Linked DNA regions of Arabidopsis thaliana. The protein of the gene in region 4 purifies or fractionates together with the protein of the main gene of each other region. This does not show direct contact. Each region holds a gene or a part of one and is shown on either strand. Other genes may lie near its edges.

What was found.
Region 1: the proteins of AT3G49000 (region 4) and AT4G25180 fractionate together in Arabidopsis thaliana (co-fractionation; one large-scale study listed by BioGRID). This does not show direct contact.
Region 2: the proteins of AT3G49000 (region 4) and AT4G01590 fractionate together in Arabidopsis thaliana (co-fractionation; one large-scale study listed by BioGRID). This does not show direct contact.
Region 3: the proteins of AT3G49000 (region 4) and AT5G62950 fractionate together in Arabidopsis thaliana (co-fractionation; one large-scale study listed by BioGRID). This does not show direct contact.

Annotation. Positions count from the first base shown.
Region 1 is NC_003075.7:12,910,871-12,916,693, forward strand, and holds AT4G25180 (RNA polymerase III RPC4), read right to left. Parts: upstream 3,170-5,823; 5' UTR 3,038-3,169; coding exon 3,011-3,037; intron 2,895-3,010; coding exon 2,830-2,894; intron 2,736-2,829; coding exon 2,672-2,735; intron 2,630-2,671; exon of another isoform or gene 2,429-2,629; intron 2,240-2,428; coding exon 2,215-2,239; intron 2,063-2,214; coding exon 1,845-2,062; intron 1,751-1,844; coding exon 1,687-1,750; intron 1,559-1,686; coding exon 1,464-1,558; intron 1,378-1,463; coding exon 1,162-1,377; intron 1,038-1,161; coding exon 876-1,037; 3' UTR 680-875; downstream 1-679. Other genes in the region: AT4G25170 (Uncharacterized conserved protein (UCP012943)), read left to right, coding at 60-165, 245-519; QWRF7 (QWRF motif protein (DUF566)), read right to left, coding at 3,530-3,586, 3,732-3,842, 3,944-4,033, 4,125-4,361, 4,439-5,131.
Region 2 is NC_003075.7:687,921-692,924, forward strand, and holds AT4G01590 (DNA-directed RNA polymerase III subunit), read right to left. Parts: upstream 2,523-5,004; 5' UTR 2,465-2,522; exon of another isoform or gene 2,327-2,464; 5' UTR 2,273-2,326; coding exon 2,065-2,272; intron 1,987-2,064; coding exon 1,858-1,986; intron 1,772-1,857; coding exon 1,718-1,771; intron 1,642-1,717; coding exon 1,595-1,641; intron 1,515-1,594; coding exon 1,422-1,514; intron 1,317-1,421; coding exon 1,265-1,316; intron 1,177-1,264; coding exon 1,157-1,176; 3' UTR 893-1,156; downstream 1-892. Other genes in the region: AT4G01595 (Protein kinase superfamily protein), read right to left, coding at 3,060-3,128, 3,471-3,617, 3,706-3,855, 3,932-3,988.
Region 3 is NC_003076.8:25,261,428-25,266,555, forward strand, and holds AT5G62950 (RNA polymerase II, Rpb4, core protein), read right to left. Parts: upstream 2,627-5,128; 5' UTR 1,944-2,626; exon of another isoform or gene 1,728-1,943; 5' UTR 1,607-1,727; coding exon 1,599-1,606; intron 1,521-1,598; coding exon 1,403-1,520; intron 1,324-1,402; coding exon 1,171-1,323; coding exon of another isoform or gene 1,096-1,170; exon of another isoform or gene 1,069-1,095; coding exon 928-1,068; 3' UTR 752-927; downstream 1-751.
Region 4 is NC_003074.8:18,160,717-18,167,053, forward strand, and holds AT3G49000 (RNA polymerase III subunit RPC82 family protein), read left to right. Parts: upstream 1-1,843; 5' UTR 1,844-2,186; coding exon 2,187-2,258; intron 2,259-2,332; coding exon 2,333-2,486; intron 2,487-2,578; coding exon 2,579-2,691; intron 2,692-2,796; coding exon 2,797-2,869; intron 2,870-3,034; coding exon 3,035-3,186; intron 3,187-3,328; coding exon 3,329-3,469; intron 3,470-3,571; coding exon 3,572-3,664; intron 3,665-3,788; coding exon 3,789-3,900; intron 3,901-4,058; coding exon 4,059-4,217; intron 4,218-4,295; coding exon 4,296-4,333; intron 4,334-4,403; coding exon 4,404-4,496; intron 4,497-4,581; coding exon 4,582-4,665; intron 4,666-4,758; coding exon 4,759-4,911; intron 4,912-4,995; coding exon 4,996-5,130; 3' UTR 5,131-5,270; downstream 5,271-6,337. Other genes in the region: AAE3 (AMP-dependent synthetase and ligase family protein), read right to left, coding at 1-181, 375-578; BBC1 (breast basic conserved 1), read right to left, coding at 6,255-6,337.

The DNA.
Region 1 (5,823 bases), on a different chromosome or scaffold from region 4:
CTAAGCTCATGTTTACTTTTTGGTACATGAAGAAAGGGCTTTTTCACATTTTAATGCAGAAAATGGTAGTATCATTGTCGTCTGACAAAGCAGTTTGGGAGGCGGTGATGAACAACGATGTGGTGCGAGAGATTAGGGACTTGTACAACAATGGCATAAGTCAAGGTATAAAGAGATAATGAATTGATCAATCTAAACATTTCATTTGACAGACTTCTCAGGGGACTCAGTTTTTGTATTACAGATGAGGAAAATTCAGAAGACACCCCTAGGGAGAATAACGCAGCAACGGATTTCATAAAGTGGGTATTTGACAACACAATGGTTAAGGCCACGGAAGTGTTTGTGAAAATAACAAAGGTCGTGACCGAGCTCTTCAATTGTTACAATGGTGATGGTGTTAACAACAAGGGGAAAGATGCCAAATTCAACAATTGGCTCGAGGAAAAGCTGACCACTTCGGTCCTGCTATCCATCATCGTTATGCTGGTCGTGATGGTATCCCGAGCCTGCAACTAGTCTTGATCGTTTCAAATTAGCCGACAATACATTTGGTCTTCATCATGCTGCTTGTTTAGCTTTTGTTTCAGGTCATATTGTGGTTTGTTTGATACTACTTTGGTTCTGTACTCCATTGTTGACATTTTAGTAGATTTCGATAATAAGAACACTCTGAATGTGTCAAAATGTTGAGCATTTTCTTTTATCCCAACAACTACTGAATCTCTTATTACAAAAGAAGACACCAAGGAGGCAAGAAGAGTTTTTTTACGATCATAGTTGAAGATTAGTTTGTAGATACAGAATCTAAGTGGTCAATACTACGCTTTTTCACATCCTTGTATGAACAGGACCGGCTATTTCCAGAGCAACCTTCACTTCTGTGTTTCCATGTCTGAAGCAGGGTTCAAAAGAGACTCAACATCGGGAGTAACAGTAACAAACTTCGCTGAAGAACCAATGCGACTGCAGTTCCTCCCTTTGATGTCTATTGCTACCACATCATTAGGGATTTTTGTACCTGGACCTGGCGAGACCTGCATATATGCATAGGACCGAGAGTTAAAAGAGATGAAGAAAAGCTACAAGCGGAGGTGAATTCCAACACAGTTTCAGATATGTGGGTTCACATATAATAATGATGAGACGAAAATGACTTACATCAAAGAGGGCATCTCCAACTTTCAACTTGACAGCACCGCTCTTGTAAACCAGCATTTTGCCCATGAATCCCTCTGGTAAACCTTCAAAAGGGTTGCTTATCCCTGAACTATACTCCCGTACCGATCTCTTGGTGGTTGCTCCTGTCGTTTGCTTCACTACAGGGAGACAGTCTGGGATCTTAAAGATAAACATCTGTTTTTTGCTGTGTTGCACCTGCATGCAGCTCATAAAATACAATCAGTCAAACTCAGTGAAGAGTTCACATGTCTTCAATACCAGTTTCTTTACAAGTTTATTACCGATGTCAGACCGAGTTCTTCTGCGGAGTTGATGGTGTTCTCATCATAATCACGGTTTTTAGCCACCTCCCCAAATTCCTCCTGGTCAAGAAGTTCTAACAACACAAGAAGTAAGATTCAGTTTACAGAAAGAGGGGAAAAATGCAGGCATTTTACAGAGCAAACACATTCACACATCTGAATAGTCGGCGTAAAGCTATTGCAAAGCCGGGAACAAGCATACCTATATCACCAGAGTTAGGCTTTCTCAAAGGAAGAACAGTAGGATAGTAGGAGTTTCTATAATCCTGGCACATAAAATGAGCCAAACCTTATGTCACATAAACCAACATAAGAGAAAATGGGAGGGAAAATCTTTTTCTATCTGAAGATTCTAGTTACCCAAGGTTCAACGTAGTCATCCCCAGTTCTTGTAACAAAATTATGAACCTCTTCTCCATCTTCTTGGGCAGCAGTAACAGACGAAACAGCAGGAAGAATACTAGCAGGAGAAGACGGATTAACATCAGAATTGGGCTTGTCATCTTCTTTAGGAACACCAAAGGACCTTATTGCAAGTGGTGACAAGCTTGGTTGGAATGCAACTTCAGGAGAAGAAGCTGCAAGATTTCAAAAGCTTTTCAAGAACGATATTTAATACTATCACCTTCCACACACATGGTTTTCTAATAACTCATTTACAGAAATTAGATCAAACACAACTCGTTAAAATGAAGAATGCGAGCGAATACACATATAACTTTCAACATACCTTTCGTTTCGGTTTTGGGTCTCCTCTGGCCAGTCAGCAATAACAACAACACAAAAAAGTTTAGTTTTCAACATTGAGCATTTGGATTAAGTAATAGAGATAAGAACTAAGCCAGTATAAGCTACAATGAACATGTTAGGGGTCCTGGACCAACTCATTTCATAGTCACTTAACAAGGCAGTTAAATTGATGCGATCAACAAAAGCTAGCAAAGGAGATGAGGCAGATTCAAAACTAGTAAAGGTCAGAACCAAAAAGAAAATTCCTTGTTAGCTACGATGAAGAAAGCACACCGTTTTGGTATTTCGCATATATCATAATCTAATGTATAAGATTTTGATTATTTTAAGTGAAATTAGGGAAGTTACGATTAAACTGTTAACGAATTTTCGACAAAATTAAATAAGGAAAGAAACTAGAGAGCAAGATTTGAGAACTGAGAAGCTTCTCTACATACGCCGACGATACGTCTGTCAAATTGGCGAGATGCTTTTATATTCTCTTCATCCTCCTCAGCTTCGCTGTGTTTAGAGAAAATTTAAAGCTTTTACATGTATAAGCAGTTAAAGATTTCTACAAGCATAAACAAGAAATGATCGAGGAAGAACGAATTACGTGTTTGAGGTTGGAGCGATCGGAAGACGGCGAGAAGGCCTCGGAGGATTTGGTTGGAACCTCCGCTGACGAGAAATGGAACGGAGTAAGGTCAGTGAAACGCAATTTTCGCGGCAAATTTTTCGAGATTTGAGATGAAATTAGGAAGGAGAACAAGAAGATAGAATCAGTAGAGGTTTACCTTAGACTTTTGTTCGCCTGAATCCATGGCAGAGTCTCGCCGGTAAAAGATTCGGAAACGAGGGAAAAAAAAAAAATTGGGGATTTAGGAAAAAGATGGCTTCGAACCCGAGACCTCTGTAGTACTGAATAGCTGGATAACCAAATGACTTAATAGCGCTTTTAGTAAGTTAAGTCAATCTTTATATTTATAGCTTTGGAAATTACAATTATTATTTTTATACATTCTTTGTGAGAAGTAAACACTTCTACGTGTGTATATGTGATTGGATAGACATTTTTAGATTTCATGTCTAATTTTTTGTATAAGTATATTTTCATTAAGGTGTATGTAGAAATTGCATAACGAAATTTGTAATACACATTAACACATGGCTTCAATCGTATATATCTAGAAGTAGAAGACTGCGTCTTGAATTAGATAGCGAGTTCTGGCATCAACAACAATCCAGTTTGCAAAATGTGCAATGTGATTAACATTTTAATTACATGTCCTAACGTTTGAGTTATTAGAGAAACATTATCTCTGTTCTTCAGTCTTTTGGAGAATATGGACCCTCAAGCTACTCTCCTTTGCCTGTTAAAAGAAAATTATCTCACCATTTTAGCCTATGGAGCTTCCACATCCAAATTGAACCAATAAAAAACAAACCATTCAAGTTATAGATAAAACTACCGGACCGGTCACATATATATAATGAAATTAGGAGATAATGAATTACCGTGAAGAGAGGAATGGATAAAAGGCTCTCGTCCATTTCTTCAAAATATAACAATTCTTGATTGAACATGCCGATCAATTCTGTCAGCTCATAGAGGATTATTTCAACCTGCTGATATTTAATCACCCAAGACATTCTTAAATTAATTTCTTTTACATGTATCTATACAAAAAAAGTTAGGAAAATGATCTGTATAGATAAAGTGGACTTACTCGTGGGAGAAACTTGATGATGACGTCTTCGATCTCGTCCATGACTTCTATAGCTATGACCATTTCTTCATGTATCGACACCATATCTATCTGTAACTTCCAAATTATTAGTTTCTGCTTTCTTGACAAATACACAAAATGTTTATAAACAAATTGGTTTCCCAAAGAGAGAAATTCTAACCGTGGCACCATGTACGAGGGGTAATCGGACAGACAAAGCATGGAGTTTTCGAGTTAGCTTGCTCAACGCTTCGGAGTTTTTTGCGTCTATTTTTGACCACTCATTAAGTAAAGGCATTTGGAGGCTGAGAACTTCACGTACTTTGATATCTTGACGGAGCCTTTGAATTTCAATCAAATTTTCTACAACGTAGTTCCTCATTTTGTATATCCTAAGCCAAACCCAAAACAACTGATCCTGAAACCATTCACAGAAACAAATTAATAGATATTTATAAGATACAAATTTAAATATTTTTCATATAGTTTTTGTACCTCAACGTTGATCTTAAGGTTTGCCATAGTGGCTTCAGTTCTTGCGTTAACAAACCTCCATTGAAGTAATCTGTTTTGAAAAATCCTAAACCGGTGATAATCCTCCTCTTGTACCGGAGATACTTTCTTCTGCGCCATGAAGTACTTCAAAACTCCTGCCACCGCTCCACCGCCACCGCTTCTTATCTTGGCCTTGCTTACGGGTGACTCAGGCGGCGTCATGCACATTGAAGTCGTCGGAGCTGAGCTGGACAGAGGCGTCTTCATAGTCGAAAGTCTTCCAGGAGACAACGCCCACGCCGATGGTGAGCTGGCTCCCGGCTTTACCCCTCTCGATGAAGCGTTACTACGAGGACTACCACGCGTACGTTGCTCCAAGTACCGAGCAAACGACTCTCTGCTTCTACCGTTGTTTATCTCTTGAGATCTTGATGCGCTGTTTCTCGCCGGGATTATGTTCTCGCCGGATTTAGAGTCGGATGATCCGATGGGTCTGGAGGATCTTGTTGTGGACTGTGATCTGGTTATCATCACTCGTTTGCTTGAATTGGAAGGCGAAGAGGAAGAAGATGAAGAAGTAGAAGACGATAACGAGGCGTTTAAGGACACTGGGAGAGAGATTGAAGAGCTTATAGTCCGGCTCCGGTTATTATTGGGCGATGGAGGACGGAGTCTCCGACCGGTGGTTGCCATTTTCTTCTTTAATATATGACGACGGTTAACTATATGACTATATCATACAAGACTTATATTCGGTTTCGTTTCTCGACTCACTTGCCCCTGTCCTTAAGACTCTTATAGTAAAGCTGGAATTATATGGTTCAAGGAATCGTCTAGTCTATATACACTGGTTTGAACAATTGTGATATATAATATAGTTAGGGGTATATTATATTTAATCTGTTAGATAACGGTTGGGGTACTTGAAGATCTGTAGGAGTTGACAGCACGTAGAGGCAGAGGTAAGAACACTTCTGCATGTAGTGTGTCTACATAATAAAATATAGAGTGTATTTTTTACACACACCAAAAAGAGAGATTATAATTAATGTATTATGTCAAAGCATATATGAAGGTCAGCTTAGCTAGAGACACGTCTTTTGTTTATCTCTCGACTAAACAACATGGCGTTTTAATAAAATCAAAACTTAAAAGGTCCAATTCAGAACGGCCCCATAGTATATAGTCTACGTTGAATAAATAAACCTCAAGATAGCGTCAAACTCTTTAGTCTTTACCCAAAAATATTTTTTTTTAAATAACGTCAAAACTCTAAGTCTTGACCTCAACACCAATATATATTTGCCTTCTCCAATATCTGATTTTTTTAATTGTTTATCCGAGTCTTCTTGGTCTTTTCGAATGTTTGCCCGAACCAGACCTTC
Region 2 (5,004 bases), on a different chromosome or scaffold from region 4:
TGAAATATAGGAACACCTTCTTGTTCAGACAGAGGCTTATATCAAAATCCGAATCAGTTTTGGGTGTGAAAAAGCTCTCTCCTTTTTTGCCCTTCAATTCCAAATATCCTTCAATGGATAGATTCGAATATCTACTGAATTGTTCTTTCAAGTTTAGTTTTATTGTTTTTTGTTTTAATCTTCTGATTAGGCTCTAGTAGTTTTCTCTAGATTACTTTGATTTGGACAGGAATTAGGAGCCAATGTATATGTATCATTGTAATTAGGAACCAAGACACATTATTGTTTGCCAAAGCTTTCACTTGAATTAGCCAAATAGTTTCAAGAAACAAAATGTAGCAAAAGGAATGATGTTTAAGAGACGAAGATAATATAAAATGGGTTTGATTAGTAGTAACTGCACTATCAATTGATAAAACTCTTGTATAAGAAGATTCTGTGTACTTCTGTAAAAGTAAAAACATGAAGCCTCGTGGATATCATGGGATAACACAATAATAATAACAGGCTACAATAGAAGTTGGATTACATGAACACAGGAGGTAGTATCACAACAGTTAATAATATACACCTCAAAGATTCAACGAGATTGGTCAAGATCATCACAACAGTGAAAAATATACACAACTAAGTTTCAACAAGAATGGTGAAGATCGCTTGCTCAACACACGTAACCGAACAGCGTTACGTTCTTAACACATGATGAAAACTATGCAACAACGCTTCCAGAATGATTTTAATGGTTTCAGCTGGAATTAATGCAGCAATACAAGAAGTGTAAAGCATTGGGAGGACAAAGTTTGATTTGCTTTGTTAGCTTGAAGAATTTGTCTAAATTGAATATTAGTCGAATCAAATAGACATCTTGTGCGAAATGTACGACACTAAAGCTCAGTGGTTACTAACTTTATGGAAGATTAGTGAAATTCTTGAGTGAAGAACGTAAAGCTCTGTGATTTTCAACCAAACAGAAATTTGTACGCTTGAACATGAATTTCATATTCTTCAGTTCGAGGGGATGGTTCCAATATGATAAGAACCAAGGGAACAAAACAAATAAATGCCTTGAGAGTTTTTAAATAAAACTAAAGCTTGGGACAGGCTTAGCTTCTCTTGACTGCAAAACTTGATTGTTTTGGGAAAAAGGAGAAGCAGCTTAATACACCTCTTCAACTACTGGCAAGAAAAGAGAGAAACAAAGTTAGCTAGAATCATTTTTAAAGTTTAAAGGATGCAATCTTAGAATAAAGATGATGACTCTTACATCCATCATCCTCGTTATTATAATCGTCGTCATCATCATCAAAGTCTTGATTCTACAAAAAAACATTCAAGAACAAAGTTGTTAAGTAACTTGAGAAGAAGAAGAAGAATCACACAAGGTATCAATTCAAACATTAATCTGAAAAATAAGCAAAAACCTGATCATAATCTCCGTTATCAGATTCTTCTCCTTCTGATTCCACAACTTCTTCATCATCTTCCCCTTCTTCTTTCTCTTCCTTGCCTTCAACCTAACCAAACATAATCCAAAACACATTACTGTCAAGTGCTCTTAAAAAACCATTGAACCGTTAAAAGTTTCACTAGTTACCTTAAACTTAGCTTCAAGCTTCTCAAACACATCCAATTTCTGCAAATCTATGAAACAAAAACACAGAACTTAAACTTCTCGTTACATTGTTGAAAACAAAAACTAATAATAAAGACAATGTACCAGCTTCTTGACTCCATTTAGCTCTCTTCACAGGCCGTTGTTCTCTTCGAGTATCTGAAATCGCATAATCCAAATGATAATCAGCAAGATGAAACTAAACACATCTAAAGAGTATTGAGATGGTGGAAACAAAAACAAACCTCCAAGAAGTTCTTTAGGGAAGTTATCAGGTCTAAGAACAAGAAAATCAAAGAAAGATCCATTCTTATTAGACTTCATCTTCGGCTTCAACGAATCTGAGTACCTCTCAATGTTCAAACTCTCTTTCTCTGATGATTGTAAAAAAGAAAAGAAAAAGCTTTTAGCTTTAAGCAGAGATTACAAAGACAAAAGTATAAAGTTGATACCTTTCTTAGAAACACCACCATCGCCTAAGTGATAAGGAGAATTCCTCCAAAACTTATTGAAAGTAAAGTAGCTTTGAACTAATTGCGAGTCTGTTGAGATTGATTTTGGATCTGGTAACGTAATTTCAGGGAAAATCACAAAAGGCTCAGGCTTGCCATAATCGCCGCCATAGCCTTTTGGTTTTCCTCGGGCTCCTTTCCAAGACATGGACACAAATTCACCTTCGAAAACTGTGGCGGCGAGAGGAGAAGAATAAGAAATCTGGGATAAGAGGAAAAAGAAACGAACCGTCTTGAAATCAGTTCGATTACGATGGAGTTATTCAGAGACGAATCGAGGATTTAGAAGTGAACATCGAAATTCGAATAGCTAAATTAGGGTTCAGGGGAAGTTTCATACATGGATCTGCAGGACCAAGAAGGAAGATTACAGTCTTTAGAGCAGTGGCGGATTTCGTAAATATTAACCTTTAGATGGGTATTTCTTGAAAAAAAAAACAGATTAGTAAGCGCAAATTTTCTCGATGGGCCTTAGAGCAAGTCCACTAAGGGTTTTTAGTAGATTTTTATGGTGGGTTTTTAACCTGAAATGGGCCCAGTTGAACAAAAAACACAACAATTCAGTTAGAAACGTTCCTAAAATTGGGTTTTTCGCGACCCATACGTGGCATCTTTTTATTGGGTTAACTTATTGACAAAACCAAAAAAAAAAGCTTCTCGCGTTTATTCTTTTCTTCTTCTCTCTTTTCCTCTTGTGTCGCCGACGGAGACACAAAATCGATTGAAAATTTCGACGCCACAAAATCGATTGGAAGTCTTAGCTAGGAATCGAGAATGCTATAGCTAAAAGTTGATTGATCTTCATATTCGAAATTTACACAGCAGGAGCTTCCAGCTTGCAAACCAATTCTTACGCCTGGTTGGGTAAGCTTCTCTTCGTATTACTCTTGTTTGAGTCTCCCAAGTTTTGTCTTTGAATCGCTATCAAATTTATCTTATTCCTTATCTCTTTTTCTGCAGGTGATTTCAACTCTTGTTTTGTGGCCCTTGTCACGGCTTCGAATCTACACAATGATGCCTGGTGCTTAAACTTTTTATTGCATACTCTGGTTTAATCACTCACTATACCAATATATATGCTAATAATTGTGGTTCTAATCACTAATCAATGAAATGCTGTTTCTAAAGTTGCGTACTTGGTTTAGATCCTATTGTGGTTCAGTTTGGGAGAGAACTTGTTGAAATAAAATCAAAAGGTTATCTTTCACAAGATCTAACAAGTTCAGTTGGTCTTGAAAGGAAATGCCGTGAGATTGTTGTAACAGATGAAAGGGAGAGAAGATCGTGGGCATTGGATCTGAGGTTCTAAGAATCTAATTACAAAGTGAAAAAGACAGAATAGAGACCTCTGTAGGAGTCGGTCGATCGAAAGCCAACAGCCTCTGCAAAAGACGGAGTGCTAATGGATCTGCTTTAGAGAATTTTTGCGAGAAGGTGACATGATTTTTCTTCCTCATTTCAGTCAAGTATTTTCTAGCTTTATCATTACGAACCTGCATCAGAGAAATAAATGTTTAGCTATACAGTTCAATATATATACGTACTCCAGAAATTAATGTGAAGAATAAAAACGGATCATACTCCAGAAATTGCATCTGATTTTGGTGTGCCAAGAAGATCAGTAATCAACTCCAACTGATGGACAACACTTTTTCCCGGAAACAATGGCTTCCATGTTAGTACCTCTGCAAAGATGCAGCCAATGCTCCAAACGTCGATAGCTGGAGTGTACTGCAGAATAATATTAACTATCAACGATGTAACATAAGGAGACAAGAACAACAAAGAAAACTGTATGGAGCTTCACCAAGCCAAGTTGATTATATACATCTGTTGAAACCGAGTTGATCATGGTAATATTCATCTCCCTCCTGTTTCTTACTTTTTGATATTGAACTCATTCGAAAACTCTTCTAATTTTCTGATATTGTTGATTATACAGCCTCACCCGGATGTCAAGCCAATGGCATATGCAAACAATGATTAAAGATGTTCTCTCTTCCTTTAAGCTTATCCAGCAACAGTTATTCTCATGTAGATTCAGTTTTTCCCTTTTTCAATTTTTTTTTGTTTTAGAAACCCACTTAAGGATTCCATCAATGGTCAATAAAATTTTCAAAAACTCTAAAAAATCTCTAAACTACTAAACTATCCAAATTTATTAATAAAAAATACATAGAAACTTTACTTAGAAACTAATCATTGGATTTGCTATTACTTACTAATCTGTTTATTTTACTTAAAAACAGATTATTTTATCTTCAAATTAGCTTACGAATCTGTTTTTTTCTCTCCTAGAATTAACAACTGCGTTTATGTTGTGCGTTATGGTTTTATAAATTGTTAGGAATTATGAGTTGAAAATTTAATCTTTGTTTAACCTCTTATGAGTAGTAGTAGTAATGGTTTAATTTATTACTACTACTCGAAGACCCAACCGAATCCGATCCAAAAAACACGAAAAACCGAACCGGACCTGACCCAAAAAAACCAATCCGAATCTAAACCCGAAATTTTAAAATATTCCAACGCATCCTACACTTTTAAACCCGAAAACCGGAAATCCGAACCCAAAAAACCCGATCCGAACTTGAAGTCTTAAAATACCCAGACGGGTTTTAGATTTCTAAATCCGTAAAAACCCGAACCCAAAAAATCCAATCCGAATACCCAAACGCCCATGCCTAGAATTTATAAAACTATTACAGTTAAATCTAAATTTATCTTTTACTAATCGTGTGTGATCGGTTTTATACCAAATTAGAAAGGAAGTTAAGATTTAAAGTTACACTAGTGGCTAGAAATTAACCATGTGTTTGATTGCATGTGTGTGATAGATTTCCCTAGGCATGTAATCTAAAGTCTAAACTTCCTCCTCCA
Region 3 (5,128 bases), on a different chromosome or scaffold from region 4:
TTAAAGTTAACAAAAGTATATCTGTCCCGCGTATCTTTGTTCTATTGCATCACTCATTACTTGTCATTACATCATCATAAGTTATGATTCACAACATCATGAGATTTTCAGTCTAGTCCTATAATATTGTGATATTTGGAAAAAATGAAGTATATGTAAAATGGAGTTGATGTAAGTTTAAGTTACATACTCTTAAGGATTATATGTAAATTTGTACAAACAGGAAAATTGGATACTAAAAGAAGCATATCAGAAAACAAAAATTTAAAACTTCCTAACAACTTGGTTTTACCCAAACCGAAATAAATCACTTCCAAACCAACTGATCAAAGAAAATGATCTTCCTTTACCGGGATCACGACTGAACCAGCACACTAATGAACATAAACCATGTCTAATTGAGATCACAAACACTACAAGAGTATTATATTCAAAATTCTGTCTATGTATTTCTTCTTGAATGTTATTCTGATTATGCTTCAACTCAACCATATGTATGCGGAATTTGAATATTTCTACCATATATTTATCATTATAGCTCAGTGAAACAATGGAATGGATTACATATGCTTTCATAAAGGTTGAGATACCTATTTTTGCTCAATATCAAGATGTCAAACCTTATGCTTATCCAACGAAATTTGAAATAATATTCGACAAGAAAAGTATATTAAATAAGTTGTATTATTCTCCTTTAGTATAATTATAGAACATATTCCTCTACACTTTTGTGGGTCGTACCTCTATATTTTAAAGTTTAAATCATTTAGTATGGACCTGTTTTTTTTTTCTTTGTTAATGAATGGACGTAAATTGTTCGATCGATTATCTTCTTAACTTAAAAGATAACAAACTCAATCTAGTTAATAAGCGTTTAAGAGGATGGTTACAAAATCAAAACATAAACTCAACAACTTCATTAGCACGTCACGACTGTTCACCATTCTCTGTTTCTTCTTCATCATCATCTTTAGGACTTGCAGTTGTAGGCAGAGGAGGTAACAAATCCTTCACAAGCTCTAATATCCCATCAGTGTCGATTTCTCGATCATCCAGGTTCTCTATGATCTACAAGAGAGTCACAATCAACAAATGTTATAAACCATGAAGAAGAGAAATTAAATGCAGTGATAGAAATGGTAGTGTATAAGCTAGAAACAACAAACAAACCGGTAACAGTTCGACTATAGAAGAAGGCCGGAGATTGATGATATTGAGAATCTCAGCTTTAGCGAGTTTGAAATCTTTACACTTGTCTGCGAATTTGTTAATGCTCTCTCGTGTTTGAGTGGAAGCAGCAGTCTCCACCAAATAATCATAGACCTATAAAGATCATTCCAATTAGCAACAAAAGTGCACTCTTAAGACCAAATCAGAAGAGAGATATTGCAGGCAAGAGAACCTTGTATTCTGATCTAGCAATTGGAGCTATAACTCTTGTAGTATCTTTTGATGCACCTCTCGAGTTAAGAAAGTCAAGCACTTCGAAATTGGTCAGTGCTCCTGCATTTGCCTTGACTCTGCAACAACCACACCAAATTTTAACTACAAAAATAGAGAAGGAATCGAACAAAAACACAATGGAAGATGGATGATACATTTTCATCTCTTAGGTTGAGCAGAGAGACTTCAACCACAGGAAGCTTTTTCTTCAACCAAACGAAGTCGTTTTAACAATATGGGAAGAGAACAACACTAACGATGCTCCAAAATCAGAGTTTTTGCTCCTGAAAAATTCAATGGGAACATCAACATCAAGGAACAGATGATTCTCGTTCCCACAAATCATGATGCAATGGGAACATCAACATCAATAACGTTTCTAAATCGAAAATATTTAGGTCACGTTCAGTACTAAGCACCTTAATATGAATCAAAGCTTAAAGTGAAACCCTTGGATTCGATCAAAAATAATGACCAATTTAAGGGAAGAAAATAAGTACCTTCTCTTCTTTGACGGAAAGGATTAGTTCAAATACTAGAAGTAGCTCGCTGATTGACTCACAACACACAAAATATCAACGTCACGTAATTAAGATCAATTACTAGTTGGATTTGAGTATTACCAAAGCTACTAATTAAGATCAAACACATACATGAATCTGTAAAAGTAAAATCTAATACGAACCCAAACCCACCAAAATCTAACACCAACTCAAACCCACCAAAATCTAACACGAACCCACCAAAATCCGTCGATAAAAACGCCAACCCAGATCGCTATTTCGCTATGGTGACAAAAAAAAGAGTAGAATCAAAGAAAAAGAAGAACAAAAACTTCACCTTTAGGGATTGAAAAGTTAGGGTGGCTGCTCCTTCACCAAGCTCTGGAAGTTTCTGTTTATAGTCAGATCAATCCTTTGAATTCTTCAACTCTTATGGCTTCAGAGAAGTAATAAAAAAAAAAAAAAAGAGATCGAAGAAGAAGAGCGTTTGGGAGAAAGAAGAAGAAAGAAAGATAAAAAAAATGGAATAAAGAATAATTAAAAAAGTGTAATAGGGCCAACCCTATTTTAGCCCGTAACAATTTAAGTATAGCCCTATCTTAACCTAAAATCTTTTATTAGGGTTAGGGCTTATATCTTTTAACAGACTCGGGCCGGCCCTAAATTATAAGCCCATATTAACATCCCTAATTAGAGGAGCTCCTTCGAGGTATGATTCAGACGGAGATTGAGACCACGATTTGCTCCAGACGGTGGCGGTGAATGAATCGGTAGAACGACGTCGTTATTGTCAAAAGTAAAACCCTAGAGACCAAAAAATAAACTTAAGCTGGGCCTGTTTATCCCATAAAGAACATTTATGTGTTATTGCATCCACGGCCCTCTTCAGCTTGATGGGTTATAAGCCCAAATACATGTCCCAATGCTTGAATTGTTGTGTGTTTAGCGTTTGCTTAGTTATTTTTAAACTATGCCAAACGCTTGACTTGTTGTCTGTGCGTTTGCATTTACACTTTGCAAAAAATATGTTATAATTTCCGAAAAATATGATTTTAAAAAAAAACTTACATGTAACATAAATAGTTTGAAATCTTTCTAAGAAGTAACTTCATAAATAACTAAGGTGAAATAATCATAATCCTACTATATTATTTGGGAAGTACATTTTAAATGTAATCTTATTTTTTGTAAGTAATTACATAGGTATGCCATTAGAAATAAAATTTAAAGAGTAAATTAATTCATCTCTTTAAATATTAAAAAGTTAAATACTAATTTAATTAATTAAATTTAATTAAAAAACGAAATACATTATTAATTTTTTTAAAAAGTAACCAATTAAAATCAACAAATTAGATTTGATATCTAAATTATCATATTAATTTTTTATTAATTATTATAGTTCACCTCTTATCTTTATATGATTATATTTTTGCGAAAAAATAATATCATCGTTATAAAAAATAATTAGATTTTTTTCGCATATGCCATAATTTGAATTTTTAAAAACGAATATAAACTGTTCAAGACATGAAAAATACTATAACGGGTCAAAAATAGATTTAAGACAATTTTCTACTGAGTATTGGGTCATAATTTGCAAACTTTTATATATAATAAATAATTCTTAATATTTTAAAAATTACTACTTTCAAAAAAAAATCACGGGACGAGTAAAGAAATTACAGAACGGGTTTTATTTTGGAATAGAGTTATATGGTGGATGTATTTGAATCAATATTTATAAAAATTTAAAATATTATTAATATGATGTTTTAATAAGAGTTAAAACTTCAGTTTTTTAACAATTGTCTCATGGACTCGTGGTATAGCTTTCTTAATAACAATTGTAAACTGTAAAATATATATATATATATATTATTATAATACAATTTGCAAGTTTTAATATATATTACCTTTAAAAAATAAATCGTCCCGCGGTATACCGCGGGTTAAAATCTAGTTTTTTGTTTAAAATATATGTCAAAATTTTGTATGTTTAAGAAGAGTCTTGTAAACTTTTTGAAAATCAATTTTTATATATTGTATCATTTTTTATGCGGCGTCTCGATGAACGACAAATATACCAATACAAACCTAACTCTTATTTCTTAAGAATAAAAATCAATTCAGTTTTAAGCAAATTAAAGGAATTAGGACACATGATTCTTGCTTTGGAGAAAAAAGCACTTGAAACATGTAAGCTAAGCTAACTAACTGCCTTTTTTAAAAACCCCAATTTGGCAAGGCTCCTCTCATTGCCTTTAAAGCTCCTCATGCTTTCCACCCTTTCTTAAATCTCAAATTACATGTACTTATATTTTCTTACACATTTCAATATATATTTTGGTTTGTTATATAAACATCATCTTTTTGGTTTATTCAACATTTTTTTGCTTCTTCTTTTGTTTCTTTGTTTCTTTTTTTTTCTGCAGTCTTGCAAGAAATTTGTGAACCCATGGCAGGTACCAAACTCATTCTCTTATTTTGTTTTAATGTGAAATTCCTGAGTTACTATGAGCGTTATATATTCAATGAATCTTAATTAGAAGTCGTTAGTGCATCCAAATTCTTACAAATTATACACAAAAATAAAATAATAAATCACCAAAATCCCAGGCATCTTTTCCTCTTACGTATCTTTGATAAAGACAAATAGTTATTGATTATAGAGTTATATTTTAATGTAGTTTCGTATCCTGTGGAGGCTATTTTAAAGATTTAAGTAGTTACTTTTGAAAAGAAACCTTGTGAGTTTGTTCATTAGATAATAGAGACAAAAGATGAAAAATTCTTATAACTATGTGTTGTCGAATTGAAAATGGAATGTAGTAGAAGTAGTAGTAACGTGAAGAGAACAGCAGTTTTGTTGCAAACGCGTTTACTTAGACGCGTCGCTCTCGTATCTTGCACGCTCTTTTGGCTTCGTTTGCAACAGCTGTCTCTCTGTCACACATGAATCCTCTTCTTAACCTACGTAACCGACCTGTAGCCTCACCTGTTACATATGACAGAAAAATAACAAATTTAATTTATTTAGCTACTAGTTTCATCCGTAGCCAGTATCTATTAATGTATATGACTAAAATAAATCTAAAATTTTAATCATTGGAAACTCATTTTGGTGTTCAAAGAAATATTTAGTAACAAGTAAATCATAGTTAATCAGAATGTCAAGTTAA
Region 4 (6,337 bases):
CGTGAGAGATTTTCAGCTTTGAAGCTGCTTCTTGAGCCGGTGCGTTTCCTTCTTTAGAGGTTAACAATAGCTTTGAATCTGAATCGGAGAGGTAAAACTCAAATTCCTCCGCCGTGTACGCTGCGTTCAACGGCGCCGCCGTGGCTCTAGCTCTTATCACCGCTAAAAACATTATAACAAACTGAAAACAAAAAAAAAAAATCAAAACCAAATTCATCCAAAAAAATCATCTGAATCCGGAAATCAAAATTTCTCAATTAAGAAGCGATTTACAGATATTCATAAATTCTGCTTCCCATGTGATTCTTCAGCACGCAAAACAAAACCAGAAACGAAGCTTTTAAATCGAAATATATGAAAACCTCTTAAAATACCTCGACGGTGTTAGGGAAGGTGAGAGCAACGACATCGCCGGGTTTGATTCCAGCGTCGGAGACAAGGCGTGAAGCGGCGCGTTCGATTAGATCGTGAAGACGCGCGTGAGTGAGATTGAATTTTCCAGAAACGGAGAGAGCTCGGCGATCGGGGAATTTTTTGGCGACGTTTTCCAATAATCCTGAGAGAGTATCGCTATCCATGGTTACGTCGGAGAGATAAACACGAGAGTAACGATGATGAGGAAGGAGAGAATGTGAAAGCAGAGAAGAGAGCAAATGCGATATTTATAAATTTATATTCAATTACTACAGTATCTGTGGAAGCAAAAAATGGCTAAAAGATGATGCCACGTGTTATCATCGTAGCGGATTTTCTATTGATCGTGTGGTCATAATGTTTTCATTTTTAATTATTTTGTTAACGGTGGGAGTCGCTGATATATATCCTTACGATTAGACCGACGTTTCGGTTTTTGAAGAGGTGGTTTTTTTAATTTCGATTCCGGTACAAACACTGAACCGAAACGGCTAGTTAATTAACTTTTGAAAATATTTTTTTTCGGCAAGCATGCGATAGTAATTTACGGTTTATGAATTATTTCATAGGAATTTGAAATAGTTTGTGTATGTATTATCAAACAAAAGAATAGTTTCATTAAAAAAATAGCCTATGAGTGTTTAATCACTTTTAGGGCCTTTGCACATGTGTCTTTGACTAGGATTATCACGTTTCGAAGATGCTTGACGTTGTTTATACTTTATATTATAAATAGAAGATAACGTCCTTATTTTGATTGTTAATAAATTAAATTGACCAAGGTAAAAATGTAAAATTAAAATAAGAAATGGTAAAAATGACTTTGAATGATAAGAATAAATATATTATTTATAGAAAAAAAGTAGAAGACTAAATATAATGAGACATATATCTTTTTGAAGTAATCAATTTTGTTTTGTCTATACATACAAATTATTATATTATTTTATTTGGTTTGATACATGCACACTATCTAACTAAACAATAGTGGATTTGGATAATTATTCAACAATGAAACTAATTTAAACCACTAAACATGCGTAGCTTAGAAGAGAGTCAGAGTAGAATTTACTAATCAAAGATTTAGTTTACCTTGTTATTTGTTAAAGATTAAAATTATGTATATGATTATGAATAGAAATACAAAAATCTCGTATAGATGAAAACGACAGTGTTTTAAAATATAAGTCATATTCATGAAGCTGAAAAAGTCATTTTCCATTCTCCTAACTAAGTAAAAACATGGTCTTCATGTAAGCCGTCACATACAAATACAATAGAAGAATTTGGTTTGTGTTTGTTCTTCTTAAGTAGAGCATTGTCATCTGGCCCAATCATTGAAAATTCTCAAGTACATTTCGTTCCATCACTAATTTTTTTTCTTGGGTCAAACCATACATTCAATTTATTAGGGCCTGATAGGCCCAAACTTCTCTAGGCCAACAATTAATAACCTACAATTAGGGATGTTAAAATGGGCTAAATATTTAAGGCCGGCCCGAGTCCTTATAAAAAACAAAAGCCCTAGCCCTGGGTTGGTGTTTTCTTATACTTATATTGGTGGGTTCATGTTAGATTATCGAAATTTTGGATTCGAACGTGTGGATCGCTGGAAAAATTAAACTTTAGGGTCGCTAGATTACGATTGCTTCGCTTTTTAGTAGTAGTAGGCTACAATCGATTGGCAAACATCTCTATATCGGCCATAACTCCGTCAAGCTCTGCAGAGGCTGCTTCATCAGTATTGAGAGACTTCCTGGTGATTGATTCTCATGTCTATGTCTGAGTTTGGCATTGTCTACGCCATCCATATCATCACCGTCCAATTCGGCTCCGTCGTCTCGGTAAATTGAGAAACCCTTCTGAGACTTGTGTTGAATTTATAATCTCTGTATAACGAATTTGGTTTTGGTTGCAGAAAGTTTGTGAATGTCTTCTACGTAAAGGACCTCTTTCCTCACGAGACATCTCTCGTTTAGCTGAATCAGATATCAACCATAACAAAGTTAAAGATATTCTCTATCTCTTGATTCAGCACAATTGTGTTCAAGCTTTCTCCATTGAACCTCCTGGTTAGTCTCTATATTGTTTGATTAGTAGCAACACACAGAAATAGAGAACTCAATGAAAGTAATTTTGTATGTTTTTTTTTTTTACTTTGTAGATGGTTCTGAGAGCAAAGCTATTGTACAGTATATTGTGTTGTTTAACAACATTCTGCATCGTGTGAGGTATAACAAGTTTTCGAGGATTGTAAACGAAGAACTTGACTCCAAGGTTTAATCGTGCTTCTTCTTCTCTCTGTTCAGTGTTTTGATTAGTTGGTTTATGCTTCAAGACTCTAATGCTAATCTTATACTTTTGTTTGATTTATATGTTTAGTGCGGTGCAGTTCTTGATGGTTTACTTAGTAACGGTAGGCTTACCTTGGGACAGTTTATTGAAAGAGATAGAGGTGAGTCGTGATATCATATGTACCTCTTATGTTATGTTACCACAGTTTACACTCGTCATCGTAGGCATTGGCTTTTGGCCTTTGTGTATCTCGTTTTGATTACAGTAATGCTTCGAGCGGAATGGATTCCATGCTGTTATATATGTTTTCTTCATACATGATCAGATTCAGGAAATACGATAGGTTCTGAAGCAATCAGAGATTCTCTTCAGAAATTGGTTGCTGCCCGTTTTGTTGAGCGCATTCCTTCTCCCGAACCTGTTCTTGGAAACAAAGAAAAAGAGCCGGCAAAGAGAAGAGGCGCTAAAGCTGCCAAGGTAATTGATAATTTCTTTCTGGTGTTTGGTATACCTATACATGGTCTGATATATCAGACCTACAAATTGCAGAGACATGACTCTCAGTTTTGATATTATTTCTATTCTGTTCGATATTAATAAATCTCTTGGAACGGTGTAGATTCTTAAAGAACCAGAAACCTTGGAGGAACAAGTTGTTGAAGCAGCAACTCCAGTTGACGCAATAAGGTTTCCACTTATATTCGAAGAAGATTCCAATTCATCTTTAGCAGATGACAATAGCAACATCACTGAGGGGAAGGTATCAACATTCGTACCATAACCAATCTTGTAATCATACATTTTTCAATGATGTAGCTCTGAATACCTTTGTTGATGTTTCTCATTGAACCGAATATTTTAGCGTAAACAACGTGATGTGGACACATCAGATTCGAGCAGTGGAGTAATTTGGCGTCCTAATTTTGAGGAGTTCATCCACCGCCTTAGACATAAGGTTAGTTATCCGTGTTTCTCTTTTGAGGTTGTTTGATGAGGAAAAAAGCTCATTGGCATTTCAAATTTTGCTTTCCGAATGTCTTACTGTTCCAATCTATTAACCACTTGTTTCTTTGTTTAAGGCGTGTGTGGAGATAGTGAAAGAGCGCCGGGATGAAGGATGTGCCATTGTCTTGAGGGCAATGTTAGAAGTAGGAAGATCGCAAGAGAAGAAGGTGAAAACAGACAATTCGGGTAATATTTGAGTTTCTCACTCATTTTCATTCAATATCTTAACATAATCATAATATGCTGAAGTTAAAATTGTATTTGGTGTGAATTATTTTGCACTCTCCACCAAAAGTCCACCTATGAAGTTCTGTTAACTGAATTTGCTATAATCTTTGAAACAGCTCCAATGTCAGTTGGTTCCATTTATGAAGAAGTTATTAAGACAGAAGCAGGTCGCACTATGTTACAAGAGCGAGTTGAAGCATGCCTTGACCAATTGAGTGCTACGTCTTCTTATCTACCAGCATTTGTGAACGAAGTGAATGATTCATACATAGTTGGTATAGTAACTCCATTCAAAATCTAGTCAAATGATTCTTGTATTCAAAATAATATTATTTTGTTATTTGGTTTTGCAGATTATAAATCCATTATCAGCGTAGCACAGAAAGATGAGGTGCGTTTCATATTTTTCTTTTCTTGATATATTTCTGAAACTAAAAACGGTATCTTTGAGATGTTTCCAGATAGAGGCAGTAGTGATGAGAAGATATGGGAAAGAAGCTTTCAGAATGTTCAGATACTTATCACAGGAAGGGCGTTTTGTTGAGACCGATAAGGTTAATGACTGTTCTTTATGATTCATATAGAAACATCTTAAGTCATAATGATTTCTTAACTTCATCATTTTTTTCTCTCTGTAAGATTGCTGATGCCGCGCTGACTGAAAAGAAAGATACACCGCAATTCCTTTTAAAGATGTGGAAAGACGGATACTTACATATGCAGGTATTCACAGTTTGGAAACCAAATCATTATCAAAAGTAAAACGAATTGGTTGTTACGAGATTCATTGTTGTTATCTTCTGTTCATTTTTGTAGAAATTGGCGGTCACAGCTCCGGGTATGTATACACCGTTTCTGTTGTGGAAGGTAAACAAGTTGATTGTGACAACTCAAATGTTGGATGAGATGTACCATGCGTCCCTTAACTTGAGTCTTAGGTTGGCCCATGAGTTAGAAGCCGAAAAAGAGGTTAGTCACACTGCAAATCGATTAACCCAAATGTGTTTCAAGATGGTCCAGATACTAAAAAAACTGTTATTGCTTTTGTGGCAGTTGCTGTTGTTGCCATTAGATAAACTGGAAGGACCATTAAAGGAGAGACTGAAAAAGGTCAAAGCCAAGAGGCTGTTACTCTCTTCCACTATGTTTAAACTTGATGATGCCATTATGCTTTTTCATGACTTTTAAACTCATACATTCAAAAACTAATTTCTTTTGGTCGATTTAGTTCACATTGTCTTCTAGCATTTTTTTTTTTTTTTTTGACATAATGAGAAGTTGTAACTTTGAAGGTAATTGATACTGTTTCGAGAGAAATGTTGTTTATTATATACTTCAGATTAAGTTTTCAAACTCTTAATCTCTATCAGAAAACCTTCTTTTCCTTTACTATGGTCTATGGCTGATGAGCTTTGGGATGAATTGCAAAATCGGGTTTTGGTGATACAGAGTCTAATGAAGCCTAATAGTCGTCCAAGTCTGAGTTTGAAAAAAAAAAAAAAAAAAAAAAAAAAAAAAAAAAGAGTCGTTTAAGTCTGATTGCCTGACCTCTCAATCCTTCAGTGCAACAGCTTCAGACAGTTCATGGAAAAGTGTTCTCTTCTATCTGTCCAAAGGAGAGATCGATGGGTTTTCAATAATCCGGAAGATATGAAATAATATTGATGTAAACATCATAGACATGTTGAGAACTCTCAATCTCAGAATTCTGACATCTCTTTCCCAACCTCCCCTGCCTGATACTCCTCCACTCAACTATGAGCAAATAGCAGTTGGCTACTCCCCTTCAATATGTTCAATCTTCTATACAAAGGTTTCTTTACTCAGGTTGCTGCACCAATCCCACAAGTCAACAAGGAAGAATTACTCCAAACCATGAACATGAAGTTAAATCTACCCCTAGTAAGTTTGAAATTGCAGAGTTATAAAGGAAGCAACCAGAAGCGTCAATTGTGACCATAAGGAATCATGATTACAAAAGACAGCGTAAGGTTGGAAGATGATAACGGGTTGAACTGCTCAAATGCAGACGAACTGCTATGTCTATTTTGCAGGTTAAAGAGATGCTTTTCGATTGTGTCAATTTAGGCTTAAATTTTTAGACTATAGAGAAAAAAACATACGAAATAAGAGGAAACTATAGCAAGTAGAGATGTGAGATACGGTCTTTTCCATAAATCAAGAGAAGCAAGGTAGCAGCAAAATCAAAGATTTAAGGATAAAAACTGATGAAAGAAAAGACAGTCTGATACACAAAATTCAGTTCCAAAAGTTGATAAGATAAAAGTTTCTTCTACCTAAGAAGAACGACCTCACTTCTTCTCTTCTTTCTCAGCCTCTGCGGCTCTCTTGGCTCTAGCTCCGGCATGCCTCTTGTTAGTGCGCTCAAGGCGTA